4 linked regions of the Struthio camelus genome follow. The protein of the gene in region 2 purifies or fractionates together with the protein of the main gene of each other region. This does not show direct contact. Links are inferred from orthologs where the notes say so. Each region holds a gene or a part of one and is shown on either strand. Other genes may lie near its edges.

Region 1 (7,221 bases), on a different chromosome or scaffold from region 2:
AGCCTTCTATTAACCCCCAAAAATCTGACAAGTAAAAACATCCTCAGGTCCAAAAAGAGAACAAATAAAATGACCTATAGTTTTGTATAAGGAAGAAAGAGGAGCATTAGATCGATCTCAGCAGCTCCTATCTTCCCTCAAATCCTCTTCCCTGGAGATGCAACAAACGAGCAACCACAACAAGCTATTAAACGTAAAACTCATCAAGATGTAGGTCCCCACTGTAATAAATCAATCTCAGAAGAATACTCTTAATGCCTCAAAAATTCACAAGAAGGAAAGCCTTGTGGCTCCATAATGCACATTTCATAAGGAGTTAGCCTAGGCACGTTTTACTGAGGAGGGAAGCAGGGGGAGAGAGAGAGAGAGAGAGAGAGAGAGAGAGAGAGAGAGAGAGAGAGAGAGAGAGAATCAGTCCACCTGGCAGTTCATTTTGGAGTACACCAAAACAATATTACTTTTTTCCTTTTTTAAATGTCATCAAGGGACTCTGATAAAGGCTCCTTCAAAGTATGCATATTAGTAAAAAAGCACACAGCTCTTGCCTAAACAAGAACTTAAAAAAAATCAGTAAAACTGACAAGGCTTCTTCAAAAGCAAGCGAGATTACCACATCAGAGAACCAGAATGACTAATGTCAGATCTTTGTCCCTGCAGATATTCAACGCTTGACTGGACATAGCCTCTATCAACCCGATCCAGACCGGCCCCGCTCTGAGCCGGGGCTTAGACCAGATGTTGTCCAGAGGTCCATTCCAACCTAAACTCTTCCGTGACTCTACAGGTGGGCAAATTTAACCACCCATGGACAAAGATTCCTTAGAGCAAAACAGAGGTCAAGCTCATGCAAGTCTCAAAGTGAGAAGTGCCACAGACGTGACAGAGGAGGCAGAGAAGCTTATCTTCATCATAGATTCTGCTCCAAAATCCTACCACCAAGCCCAATGGACAGGAAGCCTTGGATGTAAATACCTATATAGCACTGCAATTTTTTAGGCTAACCTCAGATGAGAGTTGATTTTTCCATATCTGTAATGGTATCCAAGGCCAGTAACAAAACTGATCAAAACAGGCTAGCTAACAGGACATCAGCTTACAACTTGAAGGCTCAGGACTTGCCCTTGTATACAGGTTCTTAAAGTAACTTTTACGATCTCTACAGGTTCAAGTGACGGGTAGAACAGACTTCCAACGAGACGCTGAGGACGCTCTACTCGCTAACCTGAAACGAACCTTTCGCTACTGCTGAACTCTCACCAGAAGAGCCTTGCATGGCCAATCCTCTGTACAGAAATCAGAGGGACGAGGCCAATCCCAGCAGCCTCTCCCACATGTTCCTCACGCGGCTGCCGGGGCTCCGGGTGATGTCACAGAACGCATCGACCCACCGCGGCAGAGCCGCAACACCAGACCGCGCTGTGAGCCGCTGGACCAGATCCACCAATGAAAACAGGTACTGCAGAAAAGTTAATTGAGGCCCGGAGATAAGGTACTCAAGCACCCTCTGAAAACGCCTGTTAGAGAAAGTGCTATCTGAGAAACAACGTATAAAAAGGAAAACAAATCAGTTCACTATCTTTCTTAGCCACCACCTGAACCGGCTCTTTAAACAGTAATTTGGTGTGCATCAGCATTTACCTTAAAAGTAAGCGAATTTGCATCTGCACGTGATGAATACAATAGTCAAAGACTACGTGACTCTGAACTACAGGCAAAGGACAGCAAGGCTTCTGGAAAGCAAACGGAACTCAAATCCCAAAGAATTCAGAAACTATAGAGAGAAAATTAAAAAAAAAAAACAACCTTACACGAGAACCAGCTATTTTAGAATGGAAAAAAGTAGTAGCGTAAGTCATAGCCCAGAACCAGGAAGCACCAGCGCAAAACCAGGCATAGCCTTCTAAACCAGGTGCGCTCTTCACGCCTCAGAGGCGAGGCGAAGGCAAGCATCAGAAGGCAAAACCAAAGCACGTTTTCAGCTGCTTCCTTTTAAAAAAGTCGCAACGGCTCCTTTTGGACAGCAGGAACGCGTTCCCCCTTCCGATGCCTAGACTCCGCGCCTCTCCCCGCGCAGCTGAAGGGCTCATGCCCCGCGAGACCATCCTCCACCAGACGCACGAGTAGGAGAAGCTACGTTAACAAAAGCTTTCCACGTTTGCGCTCGACCGGGGCAGCCGGGCTACCTGCTCAAAGGCCAGCCCCGATCCCCCCCCGCCCGCAGAAGGCGATCAAGCCAGGCGACGAGCTGCCCCCGTCCCGCTCCCGGAGCGGGCGGAACCGGGCTCCGCCGGCCTCGCTCCACCGCGCAGCCTTTGGGGCGGGGTCTCCGCTGTCGCTCCCGGCCACGCGCGGCGAGGGCTCCGGCCGCACGGCCGCGACCTTGAGGCCGAGGGCCCCCGAGCGCCCGTTACCGGGGGGACCCCGCGCTCCCGGCAACAAAGCGCCGCCGCCGCACAGGCCCGCGGCGGCCCTTTTACCTGCGGCGGCGGAGCCGGCCGGCTCCTCTCCCTTGCCGCGCATCCCGGCGCCCGCTCGAGGCGGCGGCGGCGGCGCTGCCCGGCCCGGCCCGGCCGCAGCGCGAAGAGGCCGGTGGCGGCGGCTGCCAGGCGCGGAGGGGAGGGGAGGGGGGGGCGGGGAAGGGCCGTGCGGCGCGCACACGCCGCCTCCTCCCAGCCGCCGGCAGCGGGGCTCGCTCCTCCCTTCCGCTGCGTGCGCGGCCCGCCGAGCGCAGCACCGGCCCCGCCGCCGCCGCCGCCGCCGCCGCTTCCCCCCTCCCCCGGCTCACCCTTCACCATGGCGCCCTCCTCCTCCTCCTCTTCGGCGCCCGGCTCCTCCGGCCGCGCCTCGTCGGCGCACTCCGGCAACCGGGTGCAGAGGCCGCGCGCCTCCGGCGCCGCCCGGTAGCGGCGGCAGAGGCGCAGCGGCGCCGACGAGCCGCAGGCCGCGGCCGCCTGCAGCAGCAGCCCCAGCGCCGCCATCTTGCGGCACTGCCCGGCGCCGGCTTCGGGCAGGGGCGCCGACGACAACGACGCGGCCGGGCGGGGCGCCGGCAAGAAGGAGCCGCCCACGCCGCCGCGCGCCACAGCGCCCCCCAGCGCGCGGCAGGCGCGGAGGACCGGCGCGGAGGACCGGCGCGGCGGGGCCCCCCCCCCCCCCGTCCCCACCGGGGGGAAGGCAGGGAGGCGGGGGGGAGGGGGGGGCGTCACGGTAATTTTGGGGGAGTTTGGGCACGGCCGGAGGCGGGCACCGGGGCGGCACGGCCCAAACCCCCATCCCGCACCCGGGGGGGGGCTGTGAGACAGCACCGAGAAGGAGGAGGAGGAGGAAGAGATGGAGGAGGAAGGAGAGGGAAGAGGAGGATGAAGAGGGGGGGGGAGAAATCGCTTTCTGGGGGCCCCGGACCTCCGAGGAGGCTCCTCTGCCGCCTCTCCGGCCAGGCTGGCGGAGCACCACGGCTACCCCGGCAGAAGGGCCTTTTCTTCCTCTTCCTCCCGGCGGCCGCGCTCGCCTCATCCCGCCGTCCCACCCCGAGGAAGGCGGTTTTCCTCCCTCTCCGGCGGGCGCGTTGCAAAGGGAAGCAGTACAGCAAACGCAAGCCTTTGCCCAAACACCAGATAGTTCAGGCAACGCACATCTAGACGGTCTCAAAGGATGGGTATCTTGCAGGACTCGTGGAGGCCTGTGAAAGGGGAGGTCTTCGTACGCGCTCAAACTTTACCGCGACCGTGAGTCGCTGGCTCAGAAATCAGGGCAACCTGGTGCTGAAACCGCAAACAGAAGCCACGGGCCATTCCTCCAGATACGGATTTTGTTTGTACCATCGTTACTAACCTTCGCTAATCAGAGGGAAAAATGCAGATGCAATTTTTACTATGCTTTTCATAGCGCTTGGATACCCTCAGCTTCACTCCTGCGCACATAAATGTCTTGCACGTTTACAGGCAAAGCAACCTTTCGGTGTTTTAATGTAAGCAACTGCAAAAGCAACGGGAAATTCAGAAACCACCTGGAACCTGAAAGTCGTGAAGGGTTTCTTATTCGTTCTCAACTACACATTCAACCCCCTAGACGCACACGGACTACATTTTGCATTCAAGCGTATCTGTAACAAACCATAAAGTCCATTCGCAGCGTATTTGAGATAAACACCAATAATTTTAAAATAATTTACACTGCTAGACACTGTTTTGCCTTTTTACACATTTCCCCCTTACTTAAAATAGACTCCTGTTCTTTCCTTCTATGTGAATGACTAGATGTCTCGAGCAAAGTTCTCAGTGCTGGAGTGAATTTCAAACACTACAGGGAAATGTTATTAAAAAAAAAATCAACTATTTTTAAGCAATTAAAATATACTAACAACGCACGCCTCAGACTAGCATTAAGCTGTGAGGACGTGATTGTTATGTTAAATAACCTATTATTCAGTGAATAGCTTGTGTGTAAGCCAAAATTTTACATGAACGGTTGCTTAAACATCATGATGAAAGAGTAAGATTTTTTTTTAAATATCAGAAAGAGAAGTCTCCAATAAACCACAAAAAGATTAACTGGCATAATTAGGTAAGTTCTGTGAAGCCTCTATTCCACAAGAAGAGCTTTGAGAAGTGAAAAGTTAGCAAACAAAACCCTACATAGGCAAAAAATCTTTGGAAGCAAACACATGCACAAACACGTGAAAAAAATCTTACTGCACAAATATCATTTGCTTTTTCACTATACACGCTTGTTAGAACCTCTGTGAATAAGCTAGTGATTTGTCTCCGTACAGTTTTTTTTAACTCAAAAACAGATCTTCAAGCAGCACCAGAAAAACCACAAGACAAATGTAGACATGTCTCTGAGAAAGACGTGAAAATTATTCTGCTACTTAATTGACAAAGGCTTTGATTACAAATATTAAGAGCACCACTACACTAAAAAGAAAAACAATCTTGCTAGACAAGTCGCCAATTTAAGGAAATCAATTGTATGTAAATCTTTGATTGTATGTTGCATGCACTCTTACTTTCAAAAAAAAAAAACCCTATTGGTTCGTAAACAAAAGCTTCAAAGAGGGCTAAAATGAAAGCGTGGCTGGAGATACTAGGTAAATGTCAATATGCACTTCTGGAAAGATGAATCTACTGTGAAACTACTTAACTCAATACAGTAACTTGTTTATTTAGCATTTTCTCAAGACCGAGAGGAGGTAAGAAAGCTGTCCATCAGTGCAACTCACAGCTACTAAGCTGTTTCAAGTTGTGAACATCAGTGAAGAAACAGAAGTGATAACAAGAACTTGAAGATGATGAAAAACATGGCTGTAGAGCACAACGATTAGAAGCAAAACAAACAAAAGGAGATAAATAGAGCACACATCTCTGGAAAACTCTTGGAAACACACAGTCAACGGGAAGGAGGAATCTGGGAGAAGATGCTGAAAGTCAGCGTGGTGATGCATGCAAAGTTAGACATGAGTAGGGCTAGCAGTTTGTCACCATAAATCATACAAAAATTATCTTATGATCAAAGAAAAAAATAGTTAAGACTCAACTTATTAAAAAATTCCAGAAGTCACAGGTGGCATAATTTTAATCCAAATATATTTATTTTGCAGTGATGAGACTTAAACAGCATATAAATAATAGCTTAAGGCCACTTTCCCAGGCTTTGCCAGTTCAGGCTTACTTCGGTGAGCAGTGGTTCACTCATTTTTACCCAAGCCTTTGCAAAGGCAGCAGCGCTACACAGAAGCCTATTAACAAGCTACGGTAGCTTAAAGACTTCCTCTCCTCCCAAAGCAGACGTGGTACAGCACCCAAAGTCCCGAACCCAGTCTGGCTGTGACAAACCACTAGCCCTCACAGGAAAAGTGCCTGCACTCTCCCAGGCTCCCATCCAGGTCACGTTTTAATTGGCAGGTCAGAGGCTTTTTGCTTCCAACTAAGATTGCTCTACACATGATTGACACCCTGGACATACAAAGCACGACGGCTTTTTTTGCATTTTTTAAAATGCGGTCCCCACAAGTCCTGGTGACTCGCTTTATTAGCATGGCAGCATTACAAGAATGGCTGGTGCACTGTTGTGCTCCCCAAGCGCTGAAGTACAAGCGTTACTTTGCCAAGAAGGGAGGTAGCGATCCCTCACTGACTCAGCCATATCTGGAATATTTCATTCAGTTCGAGGCACCTTATTTTAAGGCCAAGTTACAGAGTTCAGAAAAGGATGTCAAAAAACAAAAACAAAACAAAATACCAATGGCCAGTGACTGGAGGGACTTACTAAAAAAATCTAAGAAGTTCTAAATAAAGATGTTGGCAAAGCAATGACAGGAAAAGAGGACATGATAACAGTTGACAAATATTTGAAGTATGCAAACACTAAGGGGAAAGCACTTACTGAAGTGGTACAAAAGGATATAGCTATGTGTGGGAGGATGAAATTAAAAGGAGGAAAAGAAGAAAAACTTACAGAAGACTACTTAAAGCTAAACAATAGGGAGCAAATCTACCTTGTCGTTAAGTTAGACTGGATGATAGGACGAGTCTTTTCCCCTTTCTGCACTTGGTTGTTTCCCTGAAATTCTCTCTTGTACTCAATGTAACAATACTTTCATGTAACACTTTTTCACCTGGGAGGCTAACCAAGACAGAATTGAATTACACCGATTGTAACAACTACAGCTTTATACCTAAAGGGCAAATTTTGAATGCAGGGTTCCCCTTGGAGATAAGAAACGTCTCACAAACATAGAAGTTGGCACTGTACGTTACATAGCTATCACCAGTGCAGGTATAGTCATATTTATATCCACTTCCTTTTTGTCTCTAATACATTGAGAGGGAAGTCTGACAAATGAAGACAGTCGTAGGACAAACCTCTCATTTATGCAGCACAGAAACAGACAGTGCTATTTCTCACAAATCAGTTTTCTGCATCAAGCTGCTACAGCATTAAATCTCTGGACAAAGAAAAAATAGTAGTTGATTTGAAGATTCTCTCAGGTCCTTACCTTTAAGGGAATCCAACGAGAACATCTCCATTACAGCGAAAAGCTTTGATTCCTAGGAAAGCAAGAGGTAGCAAAAAGAAACAGGAAGTTAGAATTAGTATTTCCTTTGAGATGTTTAAAGCATTTAGTATTTCTGAAACTAACTGTCTTTAGCACCAGATAAAGCTGATAGCTCTCAATCACACTTCAGCTTGGGTGTTCATATCCTGCCAAGTTTCATTTGA
Region 2 (6,871 bases):
CACGTCCCAAAGGGAGTATCACCAAACACAGAGGAAACCCACACCTGCTCCAGTCTCAGGTCTCCCCCGCAGTCTTTTAACTGAGCTCCACTCGCTTGCATGCTTAGGGAGCAGGATGAGGAGGGGGAAGGCAGAGTGATGGCTTCACGGCCATCTCTGCAAAGGCTGCACTCTCTGCAAAGACACTCACTAATGGGAGAAGGGGAAGGAAGCCAGTCCCTGTCCCAGGCAAGCTTTCACCTCGGAAGTGCAGAAACCAGGGATAATCTAGCGCCGTTTTCCTTTGTCACTGAAAACATCCTTTCTAGTTTCCTACACTGGAACTGAGATAAGAGAATGAATTGGACAGCAATTAAGAAAACATGTTGGCACTTTAATCTCCTTGTACCTAATGCCCAATGGGTTGTTTCAGTCTTGCCTGAAATTTTCTATTCCTCTTCCTCCACATAGGGACACTCTCTTGTTCCAACAGCTGATTACTGGAAAAGAAAATCCTGGAAGATAGCTTCAAGTCCATTGATTAGTTTTGGACCAGCCTTTCTGCACTACATCTTTTGCATTCACTTTGAATTTACTGATTGGTGAATGCGTACCGAGTTCAAGAAACTAAAGGAAGTCAAGCATTCCACAAATGGTTATTAGGTAAACCTCCTTGAGCATCTCTGCCTCCAAATCACAATTCTGACTTACCAAAAAAAAAAACCCCTCAAAAAACCAAAAAACCCACAAACAAAAGCTCAACCTCCTATCCCCCCACTCCCAAACACAGACTCACCAGAGGCAGACATGATGCCCCAGGGATACGGATTACAGCTATATGTCCTATGGTCAGGGAACCAGCTCAGTCTATCAGTTTACTGACTCAGTAAACCCTTCAGAGTTCACAGGCTCACAGGTCAAGAAGCCAAGTCAAAGAATGCTAATATATTAATTTACATTTTTTAAAAACCTTTTTTTTCCTCCTATCATCTCCCTACCCCAAGTCAAATACATCAAGGAATTCCAGTGGAAACTGACTGCCCTGTACCAAGCTGAGCGTCTGCACTATCGAGCAGGGCTATTATAACTAGCATTTCCTCTCCAGCTGACAAGGTATCCAGCAACAGCTCGTATTCTACACATATTTTCCTTTTCCTTCCTCTCAAAGGCAGTACCAACTGGGCCCATGAAATAGGTCCAGTTCAGAGCTGAGCTGTGTTGTCAGTTCCCTTTCATGAAGCAGTTTAAACTCTGCTCTTACCAGACATTAGCTTCTGCCTTCACGTGATTTTATAGCCTTTCTCCTCCGCTCTTACTTTCTTATATTTTCACTACGTGTCTTATGGACGGGAATTTCAAAAGGTTCGCCAAAAAAACCAAGCTGCTTACTGCAGCTACAAAATATAGCTAATTGTATCTGTTTCAATTCCTCTGTTAAGTTGTGCATGTGTATATATACTTGCATATATAGAGACACACATAGGTATATACACAGGCAAACACAGGAACTGTAATCACCATTCCCTTTTACATGCAAATGCAGCTTGGCATTCAAAATGAGAGAGAACCAAGTCCCAAATACGCGTCATTTGTACTAAAGTAAATCCAGCATAACACACACAAATCAGGACATTGCCGGGCAGATGAACCCAGTCAGACTGTCTGCTTTTATCTGATACCATTTCAGAAACGTTAACCATTTGCTCCTGTTCTGCTGCTCACTCATGTAAGAAGAGCTCCTTCACTGAAGTTCCTTCTCTGGTCTAAATTTACGGTTACTTTTAAACAAACCTTTAACAGCGTAACAAAAACACAGCACCCCTTTGCTTGCGTTCAAGACTGCAAATTAGTGAAAGAGACTCTCAGCTGCTGGGAACCAGCCCAGCAGCTCTTGCAGAGCCCTGCCAGCGCTGGGGCCGTGCGCACTCGCAGCAGCTGCTGCCACCACCCCGGGCAGCCACACCGCTTCCGACAGCTCCCTCAGGCAGCATGTTAGCTGCGCTGGGAACATCGTTTCCTCCTGGGCAAACTGAGTAAGGCGCTGGCAGTTAAAACATATGCCACAAAAAAAAAAAAAAAAAAGCTGTTTTCCCACCAGCGTTTTAGTGTGATTTTAGCATCTGCAAACACTTGATTAAAAGTAATGAGCTCTTCCCACAAGAAGACAGTTGGTAGCCAACACTTTTGAAGCATCAGGTGTCTTCTACCTCGTATTTCTCCATATAATTTTGAGGATGTGAACAATTTGAAATGCACTTTTTGAAGCAAGGACAGAAGAAAAATAAACATCTTTCATTTCACTGTCAACTGGCACACACACGAGCCCTGCGCAGAAGCGGAGGGATACAGTGGGTCCTTCCTAACTGCGACGGGCACTGCAACCCCGAAGGGTGACGTGGTGGGTCTGGAGCGCTCTTCAGCCTTAACGCACCCCCTTGACAGCACTGGCCACAAACCCTTCCTACCTTTGGCTACTTTTCCTACAAAGAGCTTCCGGATTTTCTCTTTCAAGTGAATCTCGGCAGATGCCAAGAACAGACCCACGGATTTACGAAACACCAGCCGCTGTAATGCCCACAGCGCTATGTGGGTTGCAAACACTCCCCTTCTCATGCGGTGGCACCAGCGCGAGGGCAGGTACACCGCAGCGCGTGGTACTCACCCCATCCTTCGCCTCTATGCCGGTGGCAGCAGCAACCTCAGCCCTTCCTCCAGCGATCTCCTGTAGCAGAGCAGCACCCAGGTGACCAGTGTCCTTCACCTGGAGATGAACAACAGGCCAACACACAGCCTAATTCTTCTCAAGAGACAGCTAGGACGTTCCCACCAGGCCCACAGCTGCAGGCCCCACGTGAGCCATCCCAGCTGGTGCCACTTCTCACAGCGGCGCTTGCTGGTGCAACGGCGGGGTAGCTCTCCTGCTGCACGGGGCCTCTGCGAGTTAAAACACCGAGAACTGCAGCTAGGGTGCAGTTTCCCGAGGCTTTGTGTCCCCTCACAGCTCTTCAAGTGCTCATGTAAAGAGTAAAAGAGGCTGAAAACCTGAAACCTATTTTATTGCTTGCTCCTGTGTACGTTCCCCAACCAATTAACGTTTGGCTGAAAAATCTTACGACTGCCTTCCCCCTTTTGCAATTCCAGCCTGGGAAGGCGACGGTTCCTACGCGCTTGATGATCTGTTCAAGCAGCGCAGTGGCACCCGTTACGGAGAATTGTGCCTCACAGCCTGACATGTACCCCTTCAAACCAGCCCACGTGGCTGGAAGAAGGACTCTCACCCCCATTTTCCAGACGGAGAAACGAGTCACAGTGAGGGAATAAGTAGTATAATCTAAATGCTTGGTGTGACTGGAGAAAAACTCTGGTGTGCAATGGGTTAGACTAAGCGTTCATAAAGGTCCCCCCTAGAGAGCAAACTAATGCCCTTTAAAGAAATTCTGTTTGCTGGACAACTAATTAAAAGTATTTCTCGAATGACCATACAGGCCCAGTTGTTTGGGTTTTTTCCTTAACTATTGCTCTGAACTTCTACCAGGGCAGCTGGAAACACCTGCCTTTTCATTGCATGAATTAGACCTTTGGTCACTCAGGAATGGCCATAAAAGGGGCCAAAGGTGTGCTACCGTAACAAGCAGAATAAAGTCTCAGAACTTAAAAAAGCACATGTCAAGTGGGTACATTTAAAAAATGTGATCCTGGCACAAAGCCTGGGTCTCCCTGACGTCCGGGGGCAGCTCTGCCATGTTCTTCAGCGCCACCAACACTTCACAGGTAGGTTGCAGAGGGACAAATCAAGTGAAACTACTCTTTAGTAAGACAAATACTTCCAAAACTAAGAGGACATCACGCGATCGTGGATGCACACCCTCGAAGCTGGTCTTTTGTTCCAGTGTCCGCTGATACATCCTGTCTAGGGTTTCACCAGAACGCTCTGCTGCTTGCAAGTGCCAATACCCATGTGTTCTGCTGAGTCCAAAGCTGGCGGTAGCGAAACCAAAGTTCAATATGTAACAGCGCTTTTATATGAATTCCTTGCTGTCCTTCAACAACGTTGCTATAAAAGCACTGTTTTTTTTTTTGTTTTGAACATCTTAGCTTTCTTACTGCTTTAAAACTTCACATATGACTTCATACTGCACTATATAAGCTGGTCTAGTATGCTGAAAATCATCCATCCTTAATCAGAGCCACAGTCAGCAGCTTTACAAATGACTTTCATTCCTTCATAAACGATCCTCTTCTAATATTGGAAAAACACAAGTAACTCGTTGAATTCACTCTGCTGATTTGCCACTTTATTCTGAACAGGATATGAATACTTCTACCACCTGGGCACTGAAAATTCATCAGCCATGTTGAATATTTTTATCCAAGAATGAGAAACCTGAACTTAGTTTATACATGCCTGGTAGATTAAAAAGTGCATTCATATTCATGCCTGATGTCTTTAGTACATATTTATATTACAACAGTTCCCAGTTAGTATTGTGCATCTGTTTATTTGGCTCATATAGGTAAGCAATCCAAAACAGATTATAATCTCAATAAACACGCCAAATGAAGAGTGGATAAATGGGTGTTTGCATGCGTAACTTGGACAAGTAACTTACCCAAAGCCACATCATGGATCAATAGCACAACCAGGCACAGAGCCCAGAATATACATATTCAAGTGCATACTGGACATGGTCCCTACATATATTTCTAAAATGACTGTTTATTTTAATGAGATGCAGTAAAATATTTCCTCAAAAAAAAAAAAAAGTTTCACGTTCTTAGTTCTAGTGCTTCATTTACCAGTGTCACACATGCATGAGTTACACAAACATAGATGGGGCCAGGAAAGCTTACTTCCATTTGTACTGTCAAGACAGCTTGATTTGTTTCTTCTCTAATGAACTTGGGAGAGCCTGTAAGAAGGAAAAGTACTAGCAAATATGAACATAACTTTATGAACAAAAGAAAAATTAGGAGTTGCAAGAAATAACGTTGGTCCTTCAGTCAGAGGTACTCCTTCTGAGTTCGCATCGGATGAATGCTGCAGTAGAATTTTAACTGTCGCATTACCACAGGATTTTCTGTTTCGAAATAGGTGTAAGGCATTCATGACTATTGCACCCACTGGCATAAAACACTACAGGACCACCACACTCCAGCATATCCAGAAAACCTATGGACGTTGCTGGAATCTACAGTACCTACCTACAGCTATAGGTACTTTACATGGGAGACGTTCAGTTAGCAATGACTGGCCGAATAACCTGAAGAAAGTCATCTACATCCAGAAAAATAGATATGCTTAGGTTGACATGGATATACTTTATCTCTGGTAACCACTTCTTCCATCATTTTTTTTAAATTTATTCTAGCTTTTAATACTATAATAACAGTTTGGGAAAGGGGGCAGGAATTTTAGTTTTATTTTGATTTAACTGGATATAGGAATTGTCACTTTCCTTCCTGAATTGTCAGCTACTTGCTGCTGTTGGACAGCTTCGTAGTTCATTCCAGCAGTTGGCGTATTGAGATTGCTACATAAAAATAAGTAAATCACTCTGAGACTCCGCAAAAGGAAAGACAGTCATTTAAACAAAGTAGGTATGAGACTGTATCATTTTAACTTTTTCCATGATGCACCAATTACTATTAAAAATACAATTTAGTTTGTGAGTTCCTAGAGGAGTATCTACTGTTGCATGGAGGCAATTCCAAAGGATTAGGATCCGCTAACATAGCCCTCATCTTCACCACAAGAAGAAAAAGTAGTATCAGTCATTTAGGAAGGCATCAAGCAGCATGCAGAACTAGCAGTTTTAACTGTAATGAAGCACAAAAATCCCAGTAGTAGATCGAGGCCCCTTAAACGCACCTTTTGCAAACACATACAGAGAGAAGCACTTCCCCAGGGAATGTACAATATAAGTACAGGAGCAGAGATCAAACAAGAGTTGCGCGAGCGGAAGAGCTGAAGGAGACTGTGGGCAACACGGACAAGACATCACAGCTTCATTCAGCTTGAGCCCTAGCTCTTCCATACCGCTTACAGACCCTCGGGGGGTTAATGCAGTCAACTTTCAGCTCCTCCAAAGAGACAAAACTACGGAAGTGAATGTCTGCTTGTGGATATTTTAAACAAAAAGGAAAACATATGGCCCTCTGGAGCTATGCTTGCTGCTGCTGCAGCTGGTATGTCACAGAGAACAGAGGGCCTAGGGCTGGAACTAAATGTAAAAGCTTTACTCCAGGAGCAACTAGAGAACAAACTGGGGAAAATGTTTCAATTTTAAAAGTAATCAGATTAACAAACCAGGAAAAACAAAGAGTTGAGACCACTCATGTACAGTTACCATAAAGAAATAAAAATAGGCACAAAATATTTTACCTGTAGTAAACAACAGCTTCTTACCTGTGTGAGGGATATTTTTGCAAACTATGAAAGAAAACCCGGAACAAATGACTAAAATCGGCATTTTATTTCCCAGATGTTATTTTGAGATTCTACACATAGAACAGTAACAAAAATTAAAACAGCAGAAGGGCTTTAGTTCAGAAAACTGCAAAGGCAGAAGATCAGTAATTTCATTTCATAAAACTAGAATTTCCATTAAAAGCCTACGTGGATTAAAACCACAGGTGCAACAAACCAAATAAGCTGCTGCTGATAGCCGTAATGTGCACCTTTAAGTTCACGTCTTGAGACATGATGGTAAATGTTTCACAGTAACAACTCATTCGGTAGGCTGGGCCCCAATTCAGAGCCAGTGTGTGCAGATGCAATCCCACTGACTGCGGAAATGGAGGAGGAGGAGGAGGAGGAGTGCCCGTGGCCTGCAGGGGCCTGTACTCCCCAGAGATAGCAAGGCCAGAAGAGATCATAAGAAGTCATCTAGTT
Region 3 (7,278 bases), on a different chromosome or scaffold from region 2:
TAAGTTTTGCTGAACACAAAATTACTAAATTCTTTTACAAACCACTTACACAATGCAGGATAAAAGATTATTCTAATTCATTATTATTCTGACATTACTGTTGGGAGGCTAGGTAACTTAGGCTGACAAAAAGACGTATAAAGACTTTGGCCTCCAAACCCAAAACTGAATTGAACCTGAACTGCAAACCAAACTGAGCAATGTCACTGAAAAGTTCGCTTTAAAAGAAAAAAATTCTGAATTGCTCCCTCCCCTCAGAAGCGAGCTAGGAACAAATAGGCAGTCTTAATCCAGTTCCCAGTAGACAGCGATAGGAAACGTAGCAAACACACAGACAAACAGAAATCTCTCTCTGCAGCAGATCTTCCAGGGCAAAGCTAACAATGTTCAGTGACTGGGAACCAGTACTGGAAATCTTACTCTGCTGCTGGCTCCTTCGAAAAAAGATTTCATTCAGAAAGCTGTCAGCCTAGCACTGTTTATAGGCAGTAATGTCACAACAAAACCTGTACAGAAAAAAAAAAAGTCTTGCCTATATTTAGAAAATGGTTTAAACACAGTAATGCTATTACACTGGTGTAGATTCCTAACCTGGAGTTACTACACAGCTCAAGACGACTTTATTCTTGCACAGCTTGATGACATTAGTAATGTAAGTAAGACATAGCAACGTACGTCCACTTACACAAGCACAACGTAACTAAACCTACTTACACCAAAGGCAAGCTTACTTGTACCCTGCAATGTTGGGTTATTTATGCACCTTTTTCAGGTACTGTTCAACACAGTGCTTAACACAAAAGAAGAGCTACAATAGTAACGTGCCTCCTACTCTTTTGCATAACACAAACTTTTATTTTTTAGTACTATAATAGTTGCAAAAAGAACGCTCCAAACGGGGCCTTGGTAGCCGCACGTTTGTTGGCCACAGGGCAACATTAGGCAGATGCGCTTCAGGGTAATTTTTTGCTTGGGTATCACTGACTTTTACGGTAGTACCCCGCGACCTTTCAGACGAACAGCTTTGCTGCTTCCCCTGCTCCCAGTCCGCAGCGAGCACCCAAGCTGCTCCGGGAGAGCTGGGCTGTGAGTTCTAGGCCTGCCTACAACCAAGGTGCACTTTTTTTATTTCCCCCCCCCCTTTAATCAGAGGACCTGGACACCAGGAAAACACGAACCAATGTCCGCGTAACTCTAACCAGCTCGTTTAGTAAAGAACGCGTTATCTCTGGGTTTCACCCCGTCTCAGAAGCAACCCTGAAAGCACCATGCACCCTGAACGCCGGTTAACTGCTTCACGGCAGAAACGTTGACATCCATTTTGGGAGCACGAGAGTGTCGTCCTGCTGGCAAACTTTACCATCCTGGACAAAGTTTGGGCAAAGCGCAAGACGAATAAAGCGACGGCAAGCAAGAAAAGGTAGAAAAACGCAACCACCGAACTACAGGAGTCCGTGCCGTTGACTGAAGGTGAGGATTTTTGAAACCCATCACCAGACGCCTGCTGGCAGCCAACTGCCACCCGCGCTCTTCGAAACCGGGGTGCCAAAACCCGGTGTGTGGGGGGGTGCTCCAAGAGCGCCCTGGCAAGGGGAGGGCGGCAGGCCGAGCAGAGGCAGCCGAGTTCAGGTCGCAGCCGACTACTTCTCAGGCGCGAAGCAGGCCCGGCGCGGAGGGCCGCCGGCCGCAGCCCCCGCGCCAGCGGCCCGGGGGAGGTGGAGGGGAGGGAGGAACGGGGGGCGGGGGGGGGTCCCCGCGGCGGGGCCGCCTCTCCCGCCCACCCGCCGCAACGGCCGCTCACCTGCGGCCCCCCCCGCGGCCACCGCCCGCCCCCTCCCCGCGGCGGGGACCCCGCGACGCATGGCGGAGCCGGTGCCTCCTCCGCCGCCCCCTCCTCCTCCTCCATCCCCGCCAGGAGCTAGCGACACCCGGGCGGGTGGGCAGCGCTGTGGCGCAAAGGCGCCTTCCCGGCCTGGGGGAGAGGGCGCCGAGGGGCGGGCGGGGCCGGCAGCCAGCGCCGCGCCGCGCCGCCAACAGCCCCGGGCCCCAGCGCCCCGCGGGGCCGCCGCGCCGGCGGCAGGCGAGGGGAGGGAGGGAGCGAGCGAGGGAGGGAGGAAGGAGGAGGAGGGGGAAACGGGACGGCGACTCGGACATCATGGCCGAAGCAGCCCCCTCCGGCGCCGGCGCTTCGGCTCCCGCCGTCCCGCGCCCTCCCCTCACCGCCTCCGCGGGGCGCCGGGCCGCCGCCGCGGGCTCCGTTACCTGGTTCCCGGGGACACTTTGGAGACGCCTCCAACATCGGCAAACACTAAAGAGAACTGACCCCGCCGCCGCCGCCGCCGGCCCCAACCACTCCGCCTCCCCCCCCGCCGCGCTCCCGCCGCCGCCCCACCGCGCCGCCCCGCCGCCGCGCCACCCGCCGCCCCTCGCCCTCCGCCGGCCTCGCCCGCCGCCGCCGCCGCCGGCTCCCGGCCCCTACGCAGGGCCGCCCGCGCCGCGCCCGGGCCTGCGCTCCCCCCCCGCTCCCACAGCGCGAATGGCCCCGTCCGCATCCCTTCCCCGGCCTGCCAGCCCGCGCGCAGCGCCCCTAGCGGTGGCTGCGGCTTCGCCTCGGCGCCGCCGGGCTCCGCTCCTCTCCGCGCCCCGCGAGGCGGCGGCGGCGGCGGGCCGGGGCGCCGCGCCGCGCTGCCCCGCTCCGCTCGGCGCGGCCGGCCCGCTGCCCCCCGCGCAGGCTGGGCTCCCCCCCCCACCCCGGGCCTGCCCCAGGGCCGGCAGCGGCCGGGCCGGGCCGGGCCGCCCCCCAGCCCTGCTCCTGCTCCTGCCCCCGCCGGGCGGGCGGCGGCCGCGCCCCGGGGCGCCCCCGATACTCACCGCGGCCGGCAGGAGCCGCCGGCCCGGCCTGGCCCGGCCCGGCCCGGCCCGCCGCCGCGCAGGCCGATGATCCCAAGGCGGGTTGGCGTCAGCCGCTGGCATCAAACCGCTTCGCGGAAACTAGCGAAGAAACGGGGAGCGCGCAGCCTGCAAAGTGGTGCCAGGGCGAAACCATGCGCTGCGCGAAGGCTGCGCGGCTCCCGGCCCCCGCTCTCCGCCTCGCAGGTCCGTGAACTTCACTACATCGAAGAGCCCCGAAATAAAGCAGGTTTGGCTAGAGCCCCGCTGGCAATCATCTCACTCGCCCCGCGCAAGATGAGTTGCGAGCTTCTTATTTCCTTTTATACGTTGCCTTGCAAGATTTTGCCTCTGTTTTCTGTTGGCAGAGACCTGACCCCTACTGGCGATTTTATGAAACAGATGTTTCCTAGAGACAGATGAAGAACAAGGAGCAAAACAACATGACTTAACGTAAGGGAAAATATATTATCGGCTTGCAGTAACGTAGTAAAAGTGAGTAAACGGAATAGGATTTGTCTGTTCTCCCATTGGTTTTACTCTGTCTCAATCTACCTCAGAACACGTAACACTCAAAAGTTTTACTTGCCACCTTTGCTCTCAAAGACCACAGTTCAGAGAGAAAGGCAAAAAGTTAACCACAACTTGTTCCCATCAGTAGCATATACATTTTTTTCCCCCCCCCAAATAGTCTACCGATTGGGGCACTTGCTACCTGGCCACATCATTCAAACAAATGACATACAGGAAGGCAAAGGTCAGAAGAATCTAGTGGGCAGGTGGGACTGCATTGAGCTTGTAATATCTTACGGGTGCAGAAACTGGAACTTATGTATTATATTCACAAGCAAGAACTAAGTTTCATAACCAAACTCTCCCAGAAGAATTGGGCTTTTCATTTCCTTTACTGCTCTTTTCACAATAATTTTTTCAATGAGTATTTTAGGAAGAATTGAGAACTGCTTTATAGACATGGGACAAGAAAACAGATGAAAAATAATGTTTTTTCGGTCTAAGAAATCATTATCAGAGGTGCTTTTTCTTTTTTAAGCTGTATTAAAAACAGGACCTTAGCACAGTTAACACCTTCGGTAGCTCTTTAGTCAAGATGCTACTCATCCTGGATAGTGATTGAGGGCCTAAAAAGTCCGAGAAATGGGCTCTGGCAAATCTAACAACAGTAAGCTTAAAGTGGACTATATCTGATATTAAGCTCGAAAAAGTAATTCATTTTTATAATATACTACACATTTCACTAGTTTTAGTAAGTTTTACTGGATAATGCACCTGGGCTTTGTATTTAGTCAAAACACCATGGAAACATTTAAACAATTTATATGAACAGCATTTCTATTTTAGGGGGTTTGAAAGAGATTTACAAGCGCTGGACTTAAGGTAGAGTAGAAAGTTTAATGTTACTATCTTTTTGAAAGACTCCAGTAAAAACTACAGTAAAGGAGGTTACTGCATTCTTCAATAAAAATTGAGACGAAGCTATTGAGACAAGTGATTGCTGAGATGTGAACATTTTCTTCTGTGCAGAATTAGATAATTTCTTAGGTCACATCATGTTTCTACCAGCTACCTAAGGTGAAGAAGATGCTAACTGATTGAGCTGCTGGGCGTTCCCCTACAGGCACACTAAGGGAGGGGATAACCAGGAGCACTGTCTGCACGGTACAGCTCTGAAGGCATAGGCTGAATGTTGAGGAAGACCTCTTCACTCGGTGGGTGGCAGAGCAGCATGACAGGCCACCCAGGGAGGCTGTGGAGTCCTCATCCATAGGCTGTCAAGACTCAGCTAGATAAAGCAGATCAAGTTAGCCATGGCTTTTGCATCGCTTTGTTTCAGGTGGGAAGCTGGACTAGATGACCTCCAGAGTTCCCTTCTGACCAACATTGCTGTGATTTTACAGTAACAACACATTTACTCTGTCACCATCTTGCAGGTCTTTGCATATGTCACCTGCAGAAGGCAGATCTAGACAGAAGAAATAAAATGGAAAGCACTTTAGTAATGTCAGATTTGGCTGTATACAGAATTGAGAGATTAAAGGCTAAAGGATTTCTGAGAGAGAAAAAAACCAAAAACTTCATTTAAATCGGGGATCAAATAAAACTGACCAGTAATTTCTGCACAAATTAAACCCTTTATGTTTCAAAACAAAACCAGTAGTTTTGGGGAAAGCTGTCTACGTTATTTTACTACACAACTATATTTTAATGATAGCTACGAGAGTTAGAACATTAGATGTCGCAAGGATAATGTCAGAACAACACAGATATTTATTCAAGATCAGAATGAATTCAGGAGTCATATATCCTTCAAAATCTGTTTATGCTACTCCATGAGAATGTTTTAAAATCATGACTTGAAAACAAGTAGTGAATTGCTATGACAGCTGAGAGTAAGAAAAAAAAAAGTAGCCTGTCAGGCTTTCCACATGCTAATGGTATAGTCACTTGGAATCTAATAGCACATCACCCCAGATGTTTTTTTGGTAATAATTTGGTATATTATAGGAAATAAACAATATGTCAACGACATGTAATTTCACCTAGTAACAGGTTTTTGTTATGGAGAGCTAAGTGATATCAATGTTTTGTTCGTAGTAACAGAACACTAACATGAGATTTATAACTTGTTTGAATACACTTTGGGACATAGCAGTTAAGACATGGCTGTATATATACACCTATTTTTTCAATTGTGGTAACCTGACATCCTTCCCTTCTTATTCCTCCTTTGTTTAGTTTTCTGCATCTGCGATTCCTTACCCCCTTATTTCATTTCATCTAAAAACTGAGCTCAGAAGTACATAATCGATAATACAATTTCCTATGTATTCTTCTGATGTCATCTAGTAATAGCTAATACTGCAAATACTTTTCATAAGCCTCCTACAAGTTTTTAATGTAAGTAAAGTTTCTTCTTATTGCTGAATCATCACTTTGTCTATAAAAATTTTTACTAATGGGCTGGTTAGTAACTTGATGCGCAACCTTATGTTATAGCCTATACTGAATAACGACGTACCTGGAGTACAAATGCATTCAGGGAATGTCAGCATCAGATTATAAGGAAAATTTTCCCACCTTTCTACAATAGTTGGATAACGTTCCAACAAGTCCCTAAAACCTGAAGTCTGTGCTCTTAAATTGAGCATTTAGCATTTTTATAATTAATAGTACTGCCTACTGCACAGCTGCTTAGTTTAAAAATATATCTATCTATACCTCTAGGATTACTTGAAATGTTTTATCAGCTCAGCAAACTGAAATCTTGGTTACATATCCTGTGTCACAAATGGTATATATAGCTGAAAGAAAACTAGAAATACAAAAAAAGCCTATGAATAATCAAGAATGAATTTTATCCATAAACTTACCATATAACTAGTGAGTTCTCCATCTAGTATTATTCAGTGATAAAACAGAGGATCAAATATTTTATGACCATTATAAAATCTGTGATTGTGTTTTGCTGTTTAATAAATTTCTGCTACATGTTTGGAGCTTTACATAGATGAACAACTGAGTCAAGTTACTAGCCATTCTTTAGATTTACTGTACCTTCATGAAAGTTTTTTTTTTTTTTCCCCCCCCTCTTACCGTTGAGATACGGGATAAAGGCTAGTCAGTACATCCATTCAGGACAGCTTAATATAAACAAAGAATGCCTTGGGAAGAAAAAAAATGCTTATTTTGTGTATAAGCATCTGCTCCACTTCATTACTGTGCAATGGATACAGAGTTTTAGTAGGTGATTTGTTGTCAAACAGCATACTGGATTAATCACCCCTATTAATGAGAGAAAGCATGAAAAATACGCTAACAGAAAGCCTAAAATGGGATGTAAGAGACAAGTACTCCATTCATTCTATACGTGTATATATATATGAGTGCAGGATACTTGAAAACACTTGGCCTTGTCATTTTTAACCTCAGATGTAGGAAAAAAAATTTGGTACTTTCAAACTGTCTTCCAAAAATCAAAATATTTTAATTTTTTTACTGACAAATTAGAATTGAAAATGGCTTTTAAAACGCCATCATGGAATGAGTTCCCACCCCTCAGTATACACTGGTGCAACAAGCTGAGAAAGTGTACTCCGTGATGTATTTAACAAGAAAGAGGAGAAGAATGGCAGTACCACCAACACAGGAACCTGTTTTTAATTAGTATATTAGAAATAGAAAAATTGGTTGGAAGGGACCTCGGGAAGTCACCTGGTCCACCACCTTCTCTGCCCCCCCTCAAACCAGGACCCACCTCAAAGTTGGATCTGATTTTGAAGTCAACAGGTTGCTCAGGGCCTTTTGTCCAGTTGAGTTCTGAGCATCTCCAAAGATGGAGATTTTACAGCCATTCTGAGTTCTAGGGCTTGA
Region 4 (7,974 bases), on a different chromosome or scaffold from region 2:
CATACTTTCTTCTGATGTTGTTCCTGCTGGTGAAGCTACCGTCATCTCCTGTGGTTCGGGAGGAATAGAGGAAGGTGGAAAATCTGACTCTGGCGTGGGATCTGCTGTTTTCGTTACTGCATTGGCCTTCAACCTCATCTGCATCCGTTCGCGCTTCCTCTCTGTAAGAGACCATCGTGGGGGGCTTGTGTTCTGTTTGTGGACATCTCCCAGCTTTTCCAGAGCACCAAGAAAGGCATTAACATCCTTGGCCCTCGAAAACCCAATGTTTTTGGCAAGGTTGAGTGCTGTTGTGTCTGCTACACTGAACAAATAGTTGCAGATTTTATCCTTAGTCTCAGCCATTATGGGATCAATGTCTCCTGAGCCACCTGCTCTGCTTTCTTCTCCTTTGATCTCAAAAGTTGGAGCTGTATGACAAACCCTGTGGTCAGCAGGGCTTCTTTCTCTCCCTGCAACTGGGTAGGCAATCCTCCACAGCGGCGGCGTTTCTTCACCTTTGTGCAGCTTGCCTTCTCTGAGCAGTTTATACAAAACACGATTGACTTCTTTCTTTTGAGTTTTAAGTTTACGTACAAGATCATAAACTGTACAAGTCTTCCCCTTCCCAAGCTGCCTGAAAATAGTCAGAATTTCTTCTTCACGACTTTGCCCAGCAAGAGATAGTCTCTGGAAATTCAGCCTGATGGTGTCAGAATCTCCTTCTGAGTTCTGACAGCGGTACTGAGGAGGGCAGTAACGTGGTAAAGTTCCTACACACTGGCTCTTTTTGGAGGCTCTAGGCCATCTTGTTTCGTTGCAGCTGACTTGCCATCTCTCTGTAGAAACCAGTGCCACAGCTTGCAAGCCTCCGGCGTGTGGTTCACAGAGCAACCTCTGTCCCTGAAGTAAGTAGACAGGAGCTTCAGTGACCTGGCCTGTTAGGAATTGCCTCTGCTGGTTTAGAAAGATGTCCCGTTTATTTCCTTGTGGGGCAAGAGGCGGGTTAGAAAAACCTTGATTAGCGCTGGACCAGTTACGTCTTGAATGGGTAGAATACGAGCCCTTGCCTCGACCGATGCCTCTGTTCATAGCGCACTGCTGGAATGCAAGGATGAATCGGGCTGCTTGCACACCAGAAGAAGGGTGGCCGTGATTCACTCTTCACTCTCAACTCCTGAAGAGAGGCCTGCTAGAAAGAAAAAGCAGGAATTCAGAACCTGTACACGTGATTACAGGAGTCTAGAAATGCAATTTAGCCAGCTCCCTTGCTACCAAGGCATTTCAACCACCTTCACCTCTTCAATATTTTCCTTCCTTCTAGCAAGTCTAATTTGTTCATACGAACACAAACGGCAAACTATGTGTCTGCCCAGCATAAACGCAAGCCATCAGGAATCACAGGTGAACTTAACTACAAGAAACAGCTTTAATAAGAGACGCTAACCCTTCATTCTTGTTGGGCTGAATTTCAAGCCAACTGCACAGAGATGATTTTATTTGTCTTTTCATGATGCCTTCTGTCTAAGAGTCACAATGCGCTTCCAAAGTACGAGGGAGTTTTATGTCTCAGCCCTCAGAGAAGCAAGAATCACAGATACACTTTGCATATAGAGAAAGAGAGGCACAAGGACATGAAGCAGCGTGCAGGCACACGGAAGGGAACAGGGCTGCAACAGGCTCAGAAACGATGTCAGACTCACGACTGAAAGTCTGAAACCCCAAATGTCCTTTCCTTCCTGGACAGCGTGTGACCTATGAAGTCTCACACAATGGGACAAGTAAAGTGATAACATACAGAGAAATTGGATAGGTTTCCAATTGGTAACGGCATGAAAAGTCTTTCAGGAGCATAAACCAAATTTTCTCACATCGCTGACAGGCGTGCCATCCCCCAGAACTACAGGGGATGGGGTATAAGCTTAATGTGCTTTAAAAAAAAAAAAAAACACACACAGGATATGTTCTAGCCCTTCAGCAACAATTGAATATGAAACTCAGCGGACACAAACATGCATCTGATACCTTCTTCTAGGCATCCTATCCTACCTTTTTCCAGGTGACCTGTTTAAGTCACCTATCTTCATAAAGAGATTACCGTGATAATGTAAGAGGAGCTTCGCAGCCAGATGCTAAGTGCGATCGATAGGTGGAAGGTAAGAGAACCAACAGTCAAACGGCCAAAACGAGGAGAGAAACAAGGCAGGCTGCAAGCCAACTAGTTACCTCCTGAAAACGACCGAACACTGGAGCAGCCCAAATGCCTGTAAAGGCTACTCTGCGCGCAGAACCAAACAAAGCTCAAGGCCAGGCTCCAGTCTCACCACCCCCACTGCTTTTACTCATCCAAGCGGCGGAGCTGCCACGGGCGCAGGAAGTGAGGAAATTAGGAAGCAGCACCCAGGCCCTCCCCACGGAGCTAAGCTTAAAAGCAACCCCCCGGGCCACCCAGGACACCGAAAACCGCAGGGGCAGCGAACGGGGGTTTTCACGACCGCTCTTACCTCCCTTCGGTCCATTTATTTTGTTAGAAAACGGGGAGGGGGGGGAAGCCCAGGCCCTGCAGAGCGGCCCTCGGCGGGGCAGCAGGCAGCCGGGCACCGCCGCGAGCGCGGTTTCGGTTTCGGTTCCGGCCGGGGCCCGCGGCCGAGGCTCCGCCTCCAGGCGGGCAGCCCCGGTAAGCTCGTCGCCGAGCAGCCGCCCGCCCCGGTACCGCCCGCCCGCCCACCCCGCCGGGCCCGCGGCGGCAACGCGGCCTCCCCACCCGGCCCGGTCCGACCCGGCCCGGTGCGGCCGCCCCGCCCGCTCCTCGGCACCCTGGAGCCGCCTCGGCTGCTCCGGCCGGGCCTCGGCACCCTGGAGCGGCCCCGGCCGGGCGCCGCCGCCCCCACCGGGCTCCCCCCTCCCCCCGCACCGGGGCCGCCCCTTACCCCCTACGGCCGCCGCCACCGCTGCTGTCCCGTACTCGGCGCAGGCTGATGACGCGCCCGCGCCTGCGCGCCGCGCCCCCTCCTGGGCAGCGCGCGGCGGCCATCTTTGGGAAGGGCAGCTGCCCGCCCTTGGGCCGCGCATGCGCCCTCTCCCGCCGCCGCCGCCGCCGCCCCCCGCGGCGACCGATCGGGTCCCGCTGCCGGTTCGCCGGGTTCGTGGGAAACCGGGCAGAGGCCGAACTCGTTTCCGTAGCAACGTGCTGCGGGACCGCGCAAAGCGCCGGCCGCCGCGTCCCGGCGGCCCCGCCGCCTCCTCTCGCCGGCAGCCCCGACGGCCCCGGGGAGCCGCCCGCCGCCGGGCCGCGGCTGGGTCCGTTCGCACCGGGCCGGGGCGGGGGGAGGATAACGGATGTGCGGGGGTAGGAAACAGGGATCCGTTTACCCCTTCGCCTGCAGCATCGCCGGCAGCCCGTCGGGGAGGGCAGAGCCGTCGGGGGGCCTCGCTCCTGCCCCCCCCCCCACCCGGTACCGGCCCCGCCGAGCCGAGCGAAGCCCCTTTCGGAGCCGCCCGCTCCCCGCGCGGTGGCGGCATCCGCTCAGGCACCGGCCGGTGCCCGCTTGCTTTGCCCCGCTCCCCCCCCCCCCCCCCGGCAAGCGAAACGGGACGAAACAACCCGCAGCCCCCGGCCGCCGGCGCCAGCCCAGCCCTGGCTCTGCGCCGCTGTGCAGCAGGCGCGCTGAAACGCCGCTTCCTCGCTCCCGAGCCAGCCTCCCCCTACAAGGCAGAGCCCAGCCGCCCGCTTGCTTGCAAGGGGGACGTTTGGTCACTCTCCTAAATCAGCCGCCTGCCTTTTTTTTTTTTTTTTTTTCTCAGCGGCGCGCAGCCCTGGGAGCGGTGCGCGTTGTTAGCTCTGCTTCGGCGCTGCTGAGACAGGAGGTACAAGTAGTTTTTGGCCTTTTTGCAAAAGTGCCCGTGAAGCCCTCCAGGCTTCTGTTATGTAGAGCGAGGAACTGGGCCGAAGTCGCTGACCGGGTTCCTGCGTCCTCCAAAACGGGCAGCGTTGCCCCTCCGTTGGGCCCGTCTGGCTGCAGGTGCAAAGCTGCGAACCAGCGCGGAAAACCTCCAGCACTCCTGTGCCTTCCGTTTGCCTTTAAATTTTTCTTTCCCCAAGTATTTTTATTATAGCTATAAACACTGCGACGGTAACTCGATGGGCCCATCCAGGAGCGTGTTTATGGCGACACATTTTTAAACATGAGCTTGGGGCAATTAATCAGCCTGAAGAACTATTATTAGTGCATGCTTGTTATACCATCGCGGGGCACACACCGAGCTCTGCGCGGATGAGCCGATGCATGCCACCGGCCCGAGCACGCATGAGCGAGCCTGTCCGGCCGTGTTCAGGGTAGCTTGGGCATGGAAATATTTTTTCCGTATTTTCCTCAAATACAGAAAACGCTGCCTCGTCCCGAGGCTGGGGCGCTGCTCCCAGTGCATCCTCACCAGGGCTCGAGTCCGGGCACCGGGGGAAGGTGCTGGTTCCTGCGAAGGCAGCTTTGCCGCCCGGAGCCTGCTCCTGTCCCCGAGGGCTGGCTCCCAGGCGGGGAAAGCAGCAGCGCTATCCAGGGCATTGCATAAGCTTTGCCTTTGGAGGTGCCTCGCTGCTCAGCGGCGGACTGAACCTGAGCTTTGATAACGCCAAAGCAGCTGCCACGTCTGTTCTCTAGGGAAACGTCAGCAGCAATTACTCATGAGAGCTCAAGGTGCGGAGAGGAGGGGAGACGGGGGAACTCCCTGCCTCCTCCCGCAGCGCCGCTGTCCCTGCGCTGCTCGGCCCCCCGCGCGTCGGCGGGCTCCTGCTCCAAGGACCCGGCGACGTTCCCACGCGGGAGCAAACGTGCTCCGTGCTGGGTGGCTTCGCAGCGCAGCGCGGAAAGGCAGGTGCGGGCGGCAGCACAGCTGTGCCGGGAGAAGGAGCCGGATCCGACTCCCACGGCAGCTGCGGCGGTGGGGAGCGCCATGGCAAAAGGCAGCGCGCCGCTTCGAAGAGGGGCGGCCGAAGCGCTGTGCAGGCGATGCCACGCGAGCGCAGCGCGCAGCCGCCCGCACCCTTCGCTCTCGGACGCTCGTGGTCCCGTCCGTCAGGTTTTTATAGGCATGGCAGCGGCTGCGAGGCAAGACCTGCCCTGCAGCGCTCCGGCCAGGCCCGGTGCCGGCGTTGCTGGGGCTGCTCCAGCTCGGAGCCGGGCTCGGGACGGAGCCGCCTCAGCAAAGCACCACTTGGCCTTTGCTCCTTTGCAGCCGTGCGCGTCGCAGGCTTTGGCATTTCTCCGCGGCTTGGCTCGCCAGCCGCTCCAGCCCCGCCAGGCTCTTCCTTATAAAGCTGTCGTCTGCTGGGCAGTGGCTGGGCGAAGTGCATGCGCCTGCCGGGTGTCGGACGGGGCTCCTGGGCCGAGCGCCCGGCGTCTCTAGCTGCGCTTGTTCTGGGAGGGGGATCAGAGGGGAGGAGCAGCTTGTTGTCAGCCCGCTCTGAATTAGTGCGCCTGATGCAGCAGCTCCCAGAGAGCGAATCGGTTAATGAACCCTCCCGAATCCCGGAGTCCAGCGAGCATCCCCCCGGCGTCCGCCCGCTCTGCTCCGCATCCCTCGCTCAGTCTTCACCACCCAGCGCAAGTTCCCCCTTTGCCCTCGGCCGCTCCCTTTCATATTTAAGATGAAATCTGGTTTGTCTGGGAGAAGGGCTGTATCGGGCGCTCTGATAAACGCGAAGGATTTCAGCATCCCTCCGGAGCGGGGAAAGCAGCGCCTGCCGTGCGGCTGCCCGGGGAGGTCGGGGGCTGCGGGCAGCGCTCCCCTGCCTGCTGCCCTGCCGCCCCTCACCGCGGAGGGCGCGATGCCGGCGCCTCGTCTTTATCCACCTCACTTGCGTCGTTTGCCTCAGAGCTCAGCCTCCCTGCTGCCCCACCACCTTCTCCAAGGTCAGCACGCCACAAGCTTCAGGAGCTGCTTGGAGAGGCGGCGGGAGAGACAACCCGCTGCTCTCCACCCCCCCACTCCCCCCTTTTTTCCCTTTTCCCCCCGCAGCTCTGGAGCACAGACTGCATCACGGGTCGTCTAGCGAGGGAAAGACTGGCGCAGCCGGGTCTCCGAAGGGCTTCCTCGCATGTAGGACTGCTTTGTGCCTCCCACGGGATCCCATTACACCTTCTTCGCTGCTTAGTCTTTATTCACTGTAGAATATTTTTTCACACCGTGCAAACCAACAGACGGAGCCAAGAGCTGTGGATCAGTGACATGCGTAGAGGGAGAGGCAGGAGGGCGGCTGGAGGGGATGATGGATGGCAGAGGAGAGAGCTGTTTGCAAATCTCAGGGACATATACAGTGCTTTAATTGGTTGGTCGGCACAGATTTCCTCACAAACAGCATTTTTTAATCTTAAAGAAAGCAAGAAACTGGAACGTATCTTGTTTCTTTCATGACTTCCCTAGAGGCAGCAGCAGCACACTAAGGAAAAAGAGAAGGAGGAGGAAAAAATAGTCAGAGGCACCAGGTGGCTGAATATCTCGCAGCCTAATTGATTCCTCTTTAATTAGTACAAAACCTGTTGCTCTCCAAAACATTCAGTGCAAGCTTTGGAGCGGGCAGCGTCCTCCCCGGCCCTGCGGCGGCTTTGCTTGGCGCAGCCGCCGAGGGAGAGGAGCAGCAGGGAGCAGGGCAGGGCTGGCAGTGCCTCTTGGGCGCCTGGAAGCGGGGCTCATGTTCAGCTTCTGCAGCCTTGCTCCACGCAGCGAGAGCGGAAGGAGCCACCGGCCGGCCCCGTCAGCCCCAGGCCGGCGTCGCACGTGCCCGGAGCCGCCCCGGAGGGCTGCGATGCGGCCGTGCGGGGGGTCCCTGCGGAGGGTCCTGCCTCCGTGCCTAGGCCTGACCTCATCTGGAAACTGCTCACGAGGTAGCACCCAAAATGCAGTTGTAATGGAAAAGAGTTTAACTTTGTATTTCCCACGTTCTGACCAAAGGGAAAAGCAGCTGCTGGGTTGTGTCCTGGCTGCTCACAACTTTCCCAAATGCCCCCATGCGTTTGGGGTTGCTTGCAGTTTCCCGGGGAAGCAGCTTTACGTCTCCTGGATGCCGCTGCGGCGATGCCGGCCGGGTCCTTCGTTCCCATGCTGCAATCGCTGCCCCACGGCGTGCGGGTGCTGCAGGGTCGGCAGTGGGGCAGGGACCTGGCTGTCCCCTACAGACAGCTTTAAGCACAGACACCGACGTACAAAAGAAGATATTTAACACTGCAAGCAATAGCTTCCTCTTTGGTGCATTAGTGGAAGGGGTGATGCTCATGAAAAGCCCCGAGTCTCATTTTCAGTGAAGTTACTTTCCCTGTTTCTCTTTTTCCTCTTGACTTTCAAAAGGATGTTCAAGCACTTGCATGGTTTTAAAAACAGGCTATGCGTTGGCAAGGGCTGCTCTGCACTCGGCTGGTGCCGCTTTCGCTCCCCTGGGCTAGGTGGTGGCTTTGTAAAGCACGCTGAAACTCAACCCCTGCAAACACCTGGCCAGACCTTGAGCACTTCTGAAAAGAAAAAAACAAACAAAAAAAAACAACAACAAGAAGAAGCCATTTTATGGTTTTGATTCTTTGGTGTTTCTGATCTGTGTAATCGCTCCCCTCGGCGCAGAGTGGGCGTGAGTGCTGCATTGTCACCGAGCGGCTTCTCGGCAGCAGTTCCAGGAAGCAGACTCAGCTCCTCGGCCTGGGCCTCCTCCTTCGTCTAAATATTATCGCAGAAGAGGCGATAGCTTGCTCGGAGGTTTTGCAGCAAAGCCCCCGCCGCTGGCCGGTTCGCGATGGTTGCCATTGCTTCAGCATGGTGCTTGTTGCCCAGCAGGAAATTCAGAAATGCCCGTTTAGGTGGGAAGCTGTAATTTACCGCTGTGTTTTACAGCTTACCCCTGCGGAGCAGCCCTTCTCGCCGCGCGAGTGCCAGGCCAACCGGCTGCGCCAAGTCGATCTAGCTCTTTCATTCGGACAGCCACAAAGGGACGTGAACGCCATCAATACAGGC

Evidence for each region.
Region 1: the proteins of EIF2AK2 (region 2) and DHX30 purify together in Homo sapiens (affinity purification with mass spectrometry; 3 studies listed by BioGRID and IntAct, with this or other methods). This does not show direct contact. The link is inferred for Struthio camelus from reciprocal best matches to the Homo sapiens genes EIF2AK2 and DHX30.
Region 3: the proteins of EIF2AK2 (region 2) and STAU2 purify together in Homo sapiens (affinity purification with mass spectrometry; 3 studies listed by BioGRID and IntAct, with this or other methods). This does not show direct contact. The link is inferred for Struthio camelus from reciprocal best matches to the Homo sapiens genes EIF2AK2 and STAU2.
Region 4: the proteins of EIF2AK2 (region 2) and ADAR purify together in Homo sapiens (affinity purification with mass spectrometry; 3 studies listed by BioGRID and IntAct, with this or other methods). This does not show direct contact. The link is inferred for Struthio camelus from reciprocal best matches to the Homo sapiens genes EIF2AK2 and ADAR.

Annotation. Positions count from the first base shown.
Region 1 is NC_090943.1:1,212,927-1,220,147, forward strand, and holds the start of DHX30 (ATP-dependent RNA helicase DHX30), read right to left. Parts: upstream 3,006-7,221; 5' UTR 2,979-3,005; coding exon 2,786-2,978; intron 1-2,785.
Region 2 is NC_090944.1:102,478,184-102,485,054, forward strand, and holds the start of EIF2AK2 (interferon-induced, double-stranded RNA-activated protein kinase), read right to left. Parts: upstream 3,001-6,871; 5' UTR 2,642-3,000; intron 1-2,641.
Region 3 is NC_090943.1:129,431,776-129,439,053, reverse strand, and holds the start of STAU2 (double-stranded RNA-binding protein Staufen homolog 2), read right to left. Parts: upstream 3,011-7,278; 5' UTR 2,872-3,010; intron 2,399-2,871; exon of another isoform or gene 2,263-2,398; intron 1-2,262. UniProt on the Homo sapiens protein: RNA-binding protein required for the microtubule-dependent transport of neuronal RNA from the cell body to the dendrite.
Region 4 is NC_090971.1:4,355,765-4,363,738, reverse strand, and holds the start of ADAR (double-stranded RNA-specific adenosine deaminase), read right to left. Parts: upstream 3,019-7,974; 5' UTR 2,910-3,018; intron 2,634-2,909; exon of another isoform or gene 2,484-2,633; intron 1,172-2,483; exon of another isoform or gene 1,169-1,171; 5' UTR 1,072-1,168; coding exon 1-1,071. UniProt on the Homo sapiens protein: Catalyzes the hydrolytic deamination of adenosine to inosine in double-stranded RNA (dsRNA) referred to as A-to-I RNA editing.